Saccharomyces cerevisiae S288C: one gene and its partner. Changing the gene in region 2 together with the main gene of any one other region gives a genetic interaction. Each region holds a gene or a part of one and is shown on either strand. Other genes may lie near its edges.

What was found. A genetic interaction does not mean that the proteins touch.
Region 1: of BUR6 (region 2) and RTP1, a mutation in one rescues a mutant of the other (synthetic rescue), as found in Saccharomyces cerevisiae (one study listed by BioGRID).

The regions. Positions count from the first base shown.
Region 1 is NC_001145.3:627,192-633,006, forward strand, and holds RTP1 (Rtp1p), read left to right. Parts: upstream 1-1,833; coding exon 1,834-4,779; downstream 4,780-5,815. Other genes in the region: SSO2 (syntaxin), read right to left, coding at 1-617; ADD37 (Add37p), read left to right, coding at 998-1,594; Hsp90 family chaperone HSC82, read left to right, coding at 5,164-5,815. UniProt on the Saccharomyces cerevisiae protein: Required for the cytoplasmic assembly and the nuclear import of RNA polymerase II. May facilitate the starting interaction between RNA polymerase II subunits RPB2 and RPB3 and the subsequent interaction of the resulting complex with subunit RPB1.
Region 2 is NC_001137.3:489,886-494,676, forward strand, and holds BUR6 (negative cofactor 2 transcription regulator complex subunit BUR6), read right to left. Parts: upstream 2,074-4,791; coding exon 1,645-2,073; downstream 1-1,644. Other genes in the region: YER158C (uncharacterized protein), read right to left, coding at 1-693. UniProt on the Saccharomyces cerevisiae protein: Component of the NC2 complex which represses RNA polymerase II transcription through binding to SPT15/TBP and thereby inhibiting the assembly of the preinitiation complex.

The DNA.
Region 1 (5,815 bases), on a different chromosome or scaffold from region 2:
TTCAACAACTCTTGATGTCTAGCCTGTACTTCGGCCAATGCTGTCTTGGCCTCACCACGTCTATTGGCGTTTAGCAACGCTTGGGAAAAGATCTGCTGGCCATTGACATCGTTGATGGCGGCTTCCACTTCTTCGTCAGTGGCTTCCGGTTGGATAATTGTGTACTGTCTCTTCGCCTGCTCTTTGCTTTCTTCTTTGTAGTTAGAATCGATAATTCTGTAGTCTTGAATTAATTTTAAGAATTTCTGTCTGCAATTTTCAGCTTGTGCCTGTTTATTAGAGTCGTGCAATCCGTCTCTCTGGGCATCTTTGATATCCGCTTTCAATTGATACTGCAAATCTGTGGCCTGAGAGATGTAATCGTCCAAAGAACGTCTCAATTCCATCTCCTGTTCCTCACTCACTTGAGTAAGTAGGTCTTTGTGTTGCGCATCAATTTGGTTGATAATGTTTTCGTACCTGGACAAGTTAGCATTTATTGAGTTGATCTTGTTCATAAAAGCTACGAAATCGTCGCTACCATCTGAGTGACCAGTAGGAGCATTGTTCAAGTCCTCTTGCATTTCATAGTTTTCAGCGTACGGATTGTTATTCTCATAAGGATTAGCGTTGCTCATTGCTGCAATATTTGTGCGTGTATGGGCAGTTTTCAAATGTAAAGTATTACAATTCCACACTATTCCAGCTCTCTTATGGGTATATTAAACGATTTAACCTGCCAACAGCATTTATTTGTCATTTTACTTGCTTTTTTCATCCATCCATTGAAACTAAAAACGTCAAAAAAGGCCATTTCGTAAACAACGGCCGGGTGATAAGCACGTCGTTTAGGGGGGACCCTTTGCTGCCGCTTGGTACCCGGCTCGTAAGACATAAAGATGCCACATATTTACTTTTAGCTGGCTTCTTTATTCACACAGGCTACTCATAAGAGCTTCAGTAGACGCGCATCTGTCGGTTCTTCGTCAATCTATTTCCGCACATACTATTACGTACGATGGCTATTAAACCAACCAAAAGTTTTCAGAATTGTCTAGAAGCTGAAGTGCCTGGTTATAACGACTGTCCGACAGTTTTGTTTTCTATCGACCCTAATAGCGGACCTAGATCCAAATCTAAACAAAGAACGAAATCGAAAAGATGTGTTAGCGGCAGACTTGCCACAGAAGTGTTAGATCTTTATGGGAACACTAAAACAGCTACTACGCCGCCACCAGTTTTGAGGAGGCCATCTGTAACTGCTGCTCAACAAGAATCTGCCTGTGAAGGTGTGCTCGTAAAAGACCAAGGCGATAGACAGCTCCAGCCGATATTATGCAGTAAAGAAGAATTAGTGGCTAAGATCAACGACCTCTGTGTGTGTGGCTCGAAGCTCTCTTCGAAGGAGTTGGAATTTTACAAGAAAAAATTAGATTCAAACATTACCAAGATTTTACAAAACGAGCACACCAAAACAGTACTATCCCAGATTTTCAATGAAAAAGACAAAAATATGGCCGTGAAAACCATTAAACATTGGATGGTTACTGACACAACAATCTCAAATTGGTGTCCCGCATTCTTAAAAATTTTTGAAAATGCGATGCCTAATTAATCAATAATATTATTATATTTATAAATAGAAGTACACTACGCAGAACATTTTATTTTCTAAAAAAAAAAAGAATTCCTATTGAATAATTAAAAATCAAGGTTACCCGCAGTCTGCTTGAGAAATTTAATAAAAAACATGTAATCATCTCATCGCGTCGAACAGCATATAGCAATAAGGGCTCATCACCGCCTCATGTTTCTTCTTGTCATATCAGATCAAGAAAAACAAAAGGTTGGAAAATGAATGAGGATAAAGAGCAAAAGATCAACATACACGATATATTGAATACAAGACCGAAGCTCACCAAAAAGACAGCCCTAGATGTTTTCTTCGAAGATCTGGATGACAATGTAATTACTCCCATAAACGAATATGTTCTTGATTCAGGCTCATCATCATCCTCTTCCATTTATCAGGCGTTGAAGTGCTCAAATAACAATGAGTTTGTTGCAGTACTTTTACAGAAATTCCAGAATTTGCACATTCACGTACTAGAACAGCAACGGAGGCTCATCGAAAGTAAAAGTGACTTATTGCCTATCTCATTGCATGATATGAAATACGTAGACGAACTGATAAATCTTTTGATTATTCATGGTATAGATGCTAATTTGTCTCCTACGATGAAAATTCCATTCGATTCGAAAAGAATAAATACTTTCAAGAAGGGCCAAAAAAGCGCAGAATATGAAACGCCTCGATGGCACACCATAAATAACGATACTTTATCTCAAGTCATAACTGTCTTTTATAATGTTCTAACTAGTGAGAGGTCTTCTGACTACCTGAGAGAAATAATATCAAAAGGCAGTGCTTACGCAAACATTTTATTAGGTTTGATTGTGTTACATTTGCAGTTGCCTAATAGGTACTCTTCACAAATGATTACAAATCTAGAAGATACTCAAGAAACTTATACTTTGTTTGGGGTTTACACTCTACTAGTAGAAACAATTCAAGACGAAAAGGTTAGGGAGCCAATCCTTTCGAAGTTAACAACGTTAACTCTACGAAGACCGGAAAATGGTCTGATCAGCTTGATTGATTTCGTTTTGGGTGTGAGAGATGCTGAAGATATAGATATTGAAAAGTTTAACCGTATCTACCAAATTTTGATGAGTAAGCCAAAAACAATGACAAATTTGCAATACTTGACGGAACTATTCAAGCAAATTTATGATGGTCTCACCTTTGTGAACAGGCCTATCCTGGTCACTTGTTTGAACGGACTAATCCTTAAATTTTACCTGAGGAATAAGAGGATTGTTAACGATTTTTTGTTTAAGAAGGTCCGCTCCATTATCTTTAATTCCCCGTTAACTGATCATACAGCAAAGGAACTGAACGATGTTATAAACGTTCTTATATCTTTATCCAAAAATTCTTCATCGGATTTGCTGAATGATTTAGTTACTAGTTGCCCTGATGAAGACGGTACTACGCCTGGACAGTTCTTTTTATATGTATGGATATATGCTCTTTTTTTGAAGAAAAACCAAAAACTAGACCCATTAGAAATAAACAAATTGTCTATTTCAGATAATAAAAGCACAGACAGCATACATTTTCCAGAGCAATCTTCCTCAAAGTATTACGAGGTTGTATTATCATTATTAAAATCTCTAATAGTCATAACAGAAAATTTTCAATATCTAAATGTACTGAGCCTTAACTTACTGAATTTTGAGCACGAGAAATGGAAGTATTTAATTGATCTTGATACTCAGCTACCCTACATATCGGTTAAAAACACAGATATGGCAGAGTTGTTTTTCGAAAAAGGATCCAAAAACTCTCAAATTTCTGAGTTTCTTCAAGATATGGACCTTTCGATAGAATTATTTATGGAATTTTTAGTGCTGCTAAATGATGAGGAACAATCAAAGACTTTATTTTTAGATATTCTGAAAAGATGGGTCCATCATACAAAAAAAAGTGAAAAAAGATCTTCCGATAATCATAGCGGGATGCCAAGCGTTACAGATAACGCGTTAATACTCATGGACTTGAAACTTTTGGAATGTATGAACAACCGATTTAAAACCAAGATTGTTAATAAACCTAAGGACGTTCTTATTGTTATTGATCAATTGATAGATGTTGTTCAGGAAAAAGATGAAACAATACAGGAAGTAGAAGCAGATTCTGACGACGAAGTTGAAGAAGGAGAAGAAACAGAAGAATTGGATCCAAATGAAAATTCTTCCTACAAAATTATCTTGCAGTTATTATCAACCGTCCTTTCAGAATCGTCCAGTAGTATATTATTGCAAAACAGTTATATATTGAAATCCATTTCTAGAAAATTACAATCTTTCAACACTAATGCTTCCGAAATAGATGCATTATTGGCATCAATAGATAATATATTGATTAACGGACATACTACGGAAAGGAACGACAACATAGAAATTGAGATGGATGAGGAAAGGCTTGACAAAGCGATAACTAGTCTACATGATCCTTTAGTGCCCATAAAATCTTATGGTTTAACAGAACTACGTCATCTAGCTGAAAAGAAGTCTCCAGTAATTTCACTGGAAAAGGTGTTGCAAATACATTTAGATTATTTAAAGAATATGGACCCTTTCATTTATCTCAACGTTATTAAAGGACTTACAACGCTATGTGAATTAGAGCCAGAAACCATATTGCCTCTACTTGCAGAATTTTATGCTAACAAAAAAAAGAAAAACAGATTAGATGATGTGCTGAAAGTTGGAGAAGTGTTCATCAATTACATTCAACGTCAGAACGAATTGTTCCAGGGTAAATTGGCTTATCTGATTATAGATACCTGTCTTAGTATTGTGAGGCCAAATGATAGTAAACCATTGGACAATAGATGGCGTATGTCATCCATGTCAATCTTAGGTATGTGCCTTCAAATCAACGCCAGGGGTGTCTCGGATAGAATTCGCGATATGCTGGATTGTGTATTTGGAATATTGCAATTAGAACAACCACAAAATCATTTGAAGGACAAGGATGATTCTTTTTTGATGAGAAGAAGTGCCGTACACTTGATACATGATTTGTTGTACAGTACAGGATTTGATTTACTTCCCTTTGAGTACAACTACGATAAGCTAAAAACACTATTATCTTACGTTCGTGATCAAGATGAAGATTACATGGTTTGTGAACAGATTGACAAGCTTTTAACCGTACTAGATAGTTTATAACCCATTACGCATTTGATTATAATTTGCTTCTTAGGCAAAATTAATATTTACGTTCTTTTATATTCTTTCTTTTTGTATTCATAGAACAGCAGCCATTACCAATAGAAAGTTAAAATAGCCGCCGATGCATTTTATTACCCGCCTTTCTGTTTTCTGGGCACTTTTCTTTCTAGAAGGTGAAAGAACAATTTTTCTCGTTTTCTCGAACTTCCACCAAGCGTTGGGTAATGAGGGAGGAGATTTGTATAAAAAGAGTGGCATGTGAACTGCCTACCGTAAGTGACATGAACACATGCATTATATTTTTTGTGATATATTCTTTCTCTTGTTTTCTTTTTCTTGAAACGCTACAGAACCAATAGAAAAATAGAATCATTCTGAAATATGGCTGGTGAAACTTTTGAATTTCAAGCTGAAATCACTCAGTTGATGAGTTTGATCATCAACACTGTCTATTCTAACAAGGAAATTTTCTTGAGAGAACTGATCTCTAACGCCTCCGATGCTTTAGACAAAATTAGATACCAAGCTTTGTCTGATCCAAAGCAATTGGAAACCGAACCAGATTTGTTCATTAGAATCACCCCAAAACCAGAAGAAAAAGTTTTGGAAATCAGAGATTCTGGTATTGGTATGACCAAGGCTGAATTGATTAACAATTTGGGTACCATTGCTAAGTCTGGTACTAAAGCTTTCATGGAAGCTCTATCTGCTGGTGCCGATGTATCCATGATTGGTCAATTCGGTGTTGGTTTTTACTCTTTATTCTTAGTCGCCGACAGAGTTCAAGTTATTTCCAAGAACAATGAGGACGAACAATATATTTGGGAATCTAATGCCGGTGGTTCTTTCACCGTTACTTTGGACGAAGTTAACGAAAGAATTGGTAGAGGTACCGTCTTGAGATTATTCTTGAAAGATGACCAATTGGAGTACTTGGAAGAAAAGAGAATTAAAGAAGTCATCAAGAGACATTCTGAATTCGTTGCTTACCCTATCCAACTTCTAGTCACCAAGGAAGTCGAAAAGGAAGTTC
Region 2 (4,791 bases):
TGGGCCTCCAGTCTGGGTCAAAGGCAACGATGAACTAGAAGGAGAGTCGGGAAAAGTCGAAGATGGCGGAAGCCTTGCTATCTGGTTTCTTGGCGTGAAATTTTCACCGTTGGGGAATTGAAAAGCGCTTTTCATCTGCTTTCTTTGTAATTGGAAAGGAGTAAGTTCCTTCCTAACACGTGGATTAGAATAGGTAGGCGGGGATGATCGGAGACTGTAGCGACTACCAGAGTACTTTTCGGGAATGGTCATTAAGGAGTGGCGTCTGGACGGGTTTGGTCTACAACGATATTGCGGGTGCGCATTGTGATCACTGGTAGTATGGTTGTTCATGTTCATGTTCATGTTCATGTTCATGTTCATATTCATATTCATATTCATATTCATGTTATCGTAGCGAGAGGGGCGATTTCTAGTTGAAGGCAGAGATGAAGTCGAGGAGGAAGCAAAGTTAGGTTTATTGTACTGGCGCATCGGTGCGCCATTACCATTATTGTCTGATCTATTAGCCACCAGAGTAGAGTGCCTCCTTGAGACGGTAGCATCCGGTATGTAGAACAGATCAATCGTAGACGCAGATCTAGCGTCCACAGCCCTAGGAATACTCAAAGAGTCTCTCCTTGAAGGAGAAGTGAGCGTGTGAAAATCATTACCATGCAAACTCCTCCTCGAGGAAGAACCCTGCTGTAACATGCTGATTAAGAGTGAGTGGAAGTAGTAGCGAGCGGTGGTGGCTATGTGTTTAGCCTGGTAAAATGAATCCTATTGTGTCAGCACGGAAAAAACAACAATAGCAATAATATGACAATAAACAAGTATTTTGCCGTAGCTCTCCTTCAGTTATTTGATGATGAGTGTAAACAGATTACTGTATATAGAGCAGTAGTAAAGAAAGCTGAAGTCAAGTGCAGATGAAAGACAAATACAAAAGGAGTACGCCTGTATTATATTTCCAAGTGCGTAATTTTGAGGTATTAATATTAAGTAATTATCAGAAGCAAGAAGCCAACAACCAGACCGCTTGGGCTTAAACTAGCATATCAGCACAATCTGCAAGTATACATTTCTTTGGTGTCTCGAACGCAACGCGGTGCAAACCGCGAGAACCTTAACGATTTTTCACACTCCTTCCTCCGTTGCTGCAAGAATCCTCGAGCTAGCCCTTCGTCCGCTTCCTTTGGCACTTGAAAGAAAAAATTAGCTTTTCTTTTTCCTCCTTTCTTTTTGTCTTTCTGGTGTAGGCACAGTTGGAAGGATGGGACACCTAAAAATCTTATTTAAGAAGTCACAGACGGTAACGCAGCGCCTCGTTTCTAAATCGTATAGCAGGCTGAGCGCCCGCACACCCACCTGCGGGAGTTACTCCGGGGATCGTATGGGGTGATGCATGCTCTTTCGTAAACCTTAAGAATAGCGTTAATTTTTTCCTAAATAGGAATACACATACTCATGCTATGTAACTGTAGAGAAAGGTACAGATTACATGAGGCGCCGGTTGTCGTTGATACATATGTGATTACGTTTCGTCCTTGATAATAGAGTATAATATATATGTGCAGACATATATAGATATAAATACATTGGTATATGGATATATATAGATGTGGTATTCATTTTACACTAAGTTACATCGCCCCGTTCTGCTCAGGCACTCTCTTCCTCCGGTTGTGTTTGGCCTTCTTCTACGCATAGACCTTCCCTTAAGAAATCGAATTTTTCGTCGTTTAAAATTGTTTTTTTTAGTATTTCGGCGGTTATTCTCTTGGTTCCTTGTCCTCTTGCCATCTCCCCGCTTTTTTTCACCAATAACGCTATAAAAAACTCTAGGGACCTGCCCGCTATTACGGGCGTGGCTTGTGAAACTTTTCCTATATCCTCGTCTGTCTGCATTATTTTCTTTACCTTGGCCGGAGGGAAGTGTGTCTTTATTCTGTCGAATACATCACCTAGCTCGTTGTTGTTATTCGAGTTGGTACCCATGTTACCTACTGGACTCCCTCCAGCATCAAGTGGTACCTCATGTTCAGGTTTTATTGGTGGTAGTTGTGTTGTAACTGGTACTTGATCTGCCATTAAGAATGTAGTGATGAGTACTGTAACTGGTTTTATTTTTTTTTTTGAATTTTTATTTTCGTGACGTGCTTTTTTTTCCGTTTTTGGTTTTAATGCCCCAAAATAAAATAATCCCCTTTTGTATACGTTTTTCTTTGCCTGCCTTTTTATTTCTCAGTGCATTGCCCTTTCTTTCGCAAATTCATGTGTTTTAAGGGTAATAGGAAATATCACGCTACCTGACAAAAAAAAAAAAAATTAATTTTGGCCTGGAAAATTCTTCTCCTTAAATACAAAAAGATTCTTTTTTATAGAATGTCATAATTCACGAACAGTTAAAAAAATATAAACACACAACGTAACACAGATGCCGGGTTACGATATCCGAAAAAGTTGATTAAAAGAAAAATAATCCTTCCCCGCCAGGACTTGAACCTGGAATCTTCTGGTTCGTAGCCAGACGCCGTGACCATTGGGCCACGAGGAATAGGATGTTCAGTGTGTTGTATTACGGGCTCGAGTAATACCGGAGTGTCTTGACAATCCTAATATAAACAGTCTTAGGGAAGTAACCAGTTGTCAAAACAGTTTATCAGATTAATTCACGGAATGTTACTTATCTTATATATTATATAAAATATGAATCATACTAAGTGGTGGAAGCGCGGAATCTCGGATCTAAACTAATTGTTCAGGCATTTATACTTTTGGGTAGTTCAGCTAGGGAAGGACGGGTTTTGTCTCATGTTGTTCGTTTTTCAATCCTTGCGTTTCAGCTTCCTCTAACATCGATGACAGCTTCTCATAACTTATGTCATCATCTTAACACCGTATATGATAATATATTGATAATATAACTATTAGTTGATAGACGATAGTGGATTTTTATTCCAACATACCACCCATAATGTAATAGATCTAATGAATCCATTTGTTTGTTAATAGTTTGAATGTTTTTATCGGAAGAGGTTTGGTCATTACGTCTGCAATATTCTTTTTGGTTTCGATATAGCATACGTGCAGATGATTTCCTGATACTTCATCTCTTAGTCTCATTGCTTTAGTACCAAAAAATCTGTTTCTAAATTTCTCTTCATTATTGGATATAATTATACTGATTGTAGATTTACTGTCGGTTAGTAATCCTTTAGTAATTGGTTTCTTGTTAAGTTCTTGCACAAGGTGACTGAGGTTATTTAATAATGGGACAGATTCACTTATCGCGTGTATTTCTGCTTCCGTAGTTGAAGTACATGTTAATGAAGCCTTGGTGGACTTTCCTCCAATTACTTTTCCATTAAGTAAATATATGTTGCCAATTTGTGATTTATAATACGGTTGGTTACCATACGATGCATCGCTTATAACAACTAATTTATTTGTTGGCTTAACAGGTTTGCTTTTGTGCCATATTAATTGCTTATCTCTCGTATTCCATATGAACTGTATCAATTCATATGTCATATCTAACACTTGCTTGGACGGAAATAGTATATGTTGTGCAAGTGTGTTGATGTAGTATAATAGGTCAAATCTAAATTTATATCCAACATATGATGCTAGACCTATCAGCTTTTGCATTTCATGTACCTTCATTTTGTAATCATCTTCTTCTAGCTCTAGTTCTTGCTGGTCTATATATAGACCTGGTTGACCTGGAGCGCTAAGTTTCCTTCCTTTTGGGTTCAAAGGTACGTTTAGTTTGGGTATTTTTTCAGTTAATGAGTTTTCCATACCTAATTTCATGTATTTACCTCTTTGATATTTGATTTCTAAGCCAAGTATGTCGTACTGAATTTCGTTATCACTTTCACCCAGATTTATTATCTTTGTATCGTATTGTTTCTTGAGTGTTGTTATGATTTTCTTATTTGCATTTAAGTCTTTGCTGAACAATATCATATCATCAACGAATAAGCAAATTGTTACTTGACTATTCTTAAATACGCATGACCATCCACGAACTTCTTCCATACCACACTGTTTTATCAGGTATGATTTGATAGTTTCGTACCAGTTCGCTCCACTTTGTTTCAATCCATAAAGTGATTTCTTCAAACGTATTAACTTATCATTCATTCCTAAATGTGGTGGAGGTCTTATGTATAGTTCTTCTTTGATGTCTGCATACAAATATGCCGAAGATATGTCTAATTGTGTAATATAGTAGTTATTGTCTAATGCAAGTGACAGGGATGTCATTAATGCATAGTGATGTACGGTATTGGATTGCATGCCTGGGTCGTAAGTGTCAGGATGTTGAATATCACCTCTTGCAACAAATCTAGCTTTATGAGTACCGTCACGTTTCCTGTTAAAGATAAACATTGAATTTATTACTCTTTTGGGGTCTATTTCTTTTCTGTCATAATATCTGTCAGTGTCCCAAGTTTTCATCTTCAACAGTTGATTGACTTCTTTGTGGTATGCCTGGATATATTTTTCTTTTTCTTTAATATCTTTATTATAGGTGATTGCCTCATCGTATCGTAAGGTTGTTCGTATTGGTTTGATTGATTTTACTGCTTTTACAGCTGCAATCAGGTGAATTCGTTTCTTCGATCTCGGAGGTTCTAAACTACGCATATTCTTAGTATTCCATGTGTCTCGTGATACCTTAATTTCAGTTTCATTATCTTCTAATGATCTTTTCTTACTGTTGATAGTAGTATAGGCATTAGAGTCACCAATACCACCCAAACTGGAATTAGTTTGATGAGAATTTATCGGTGGGAGTTC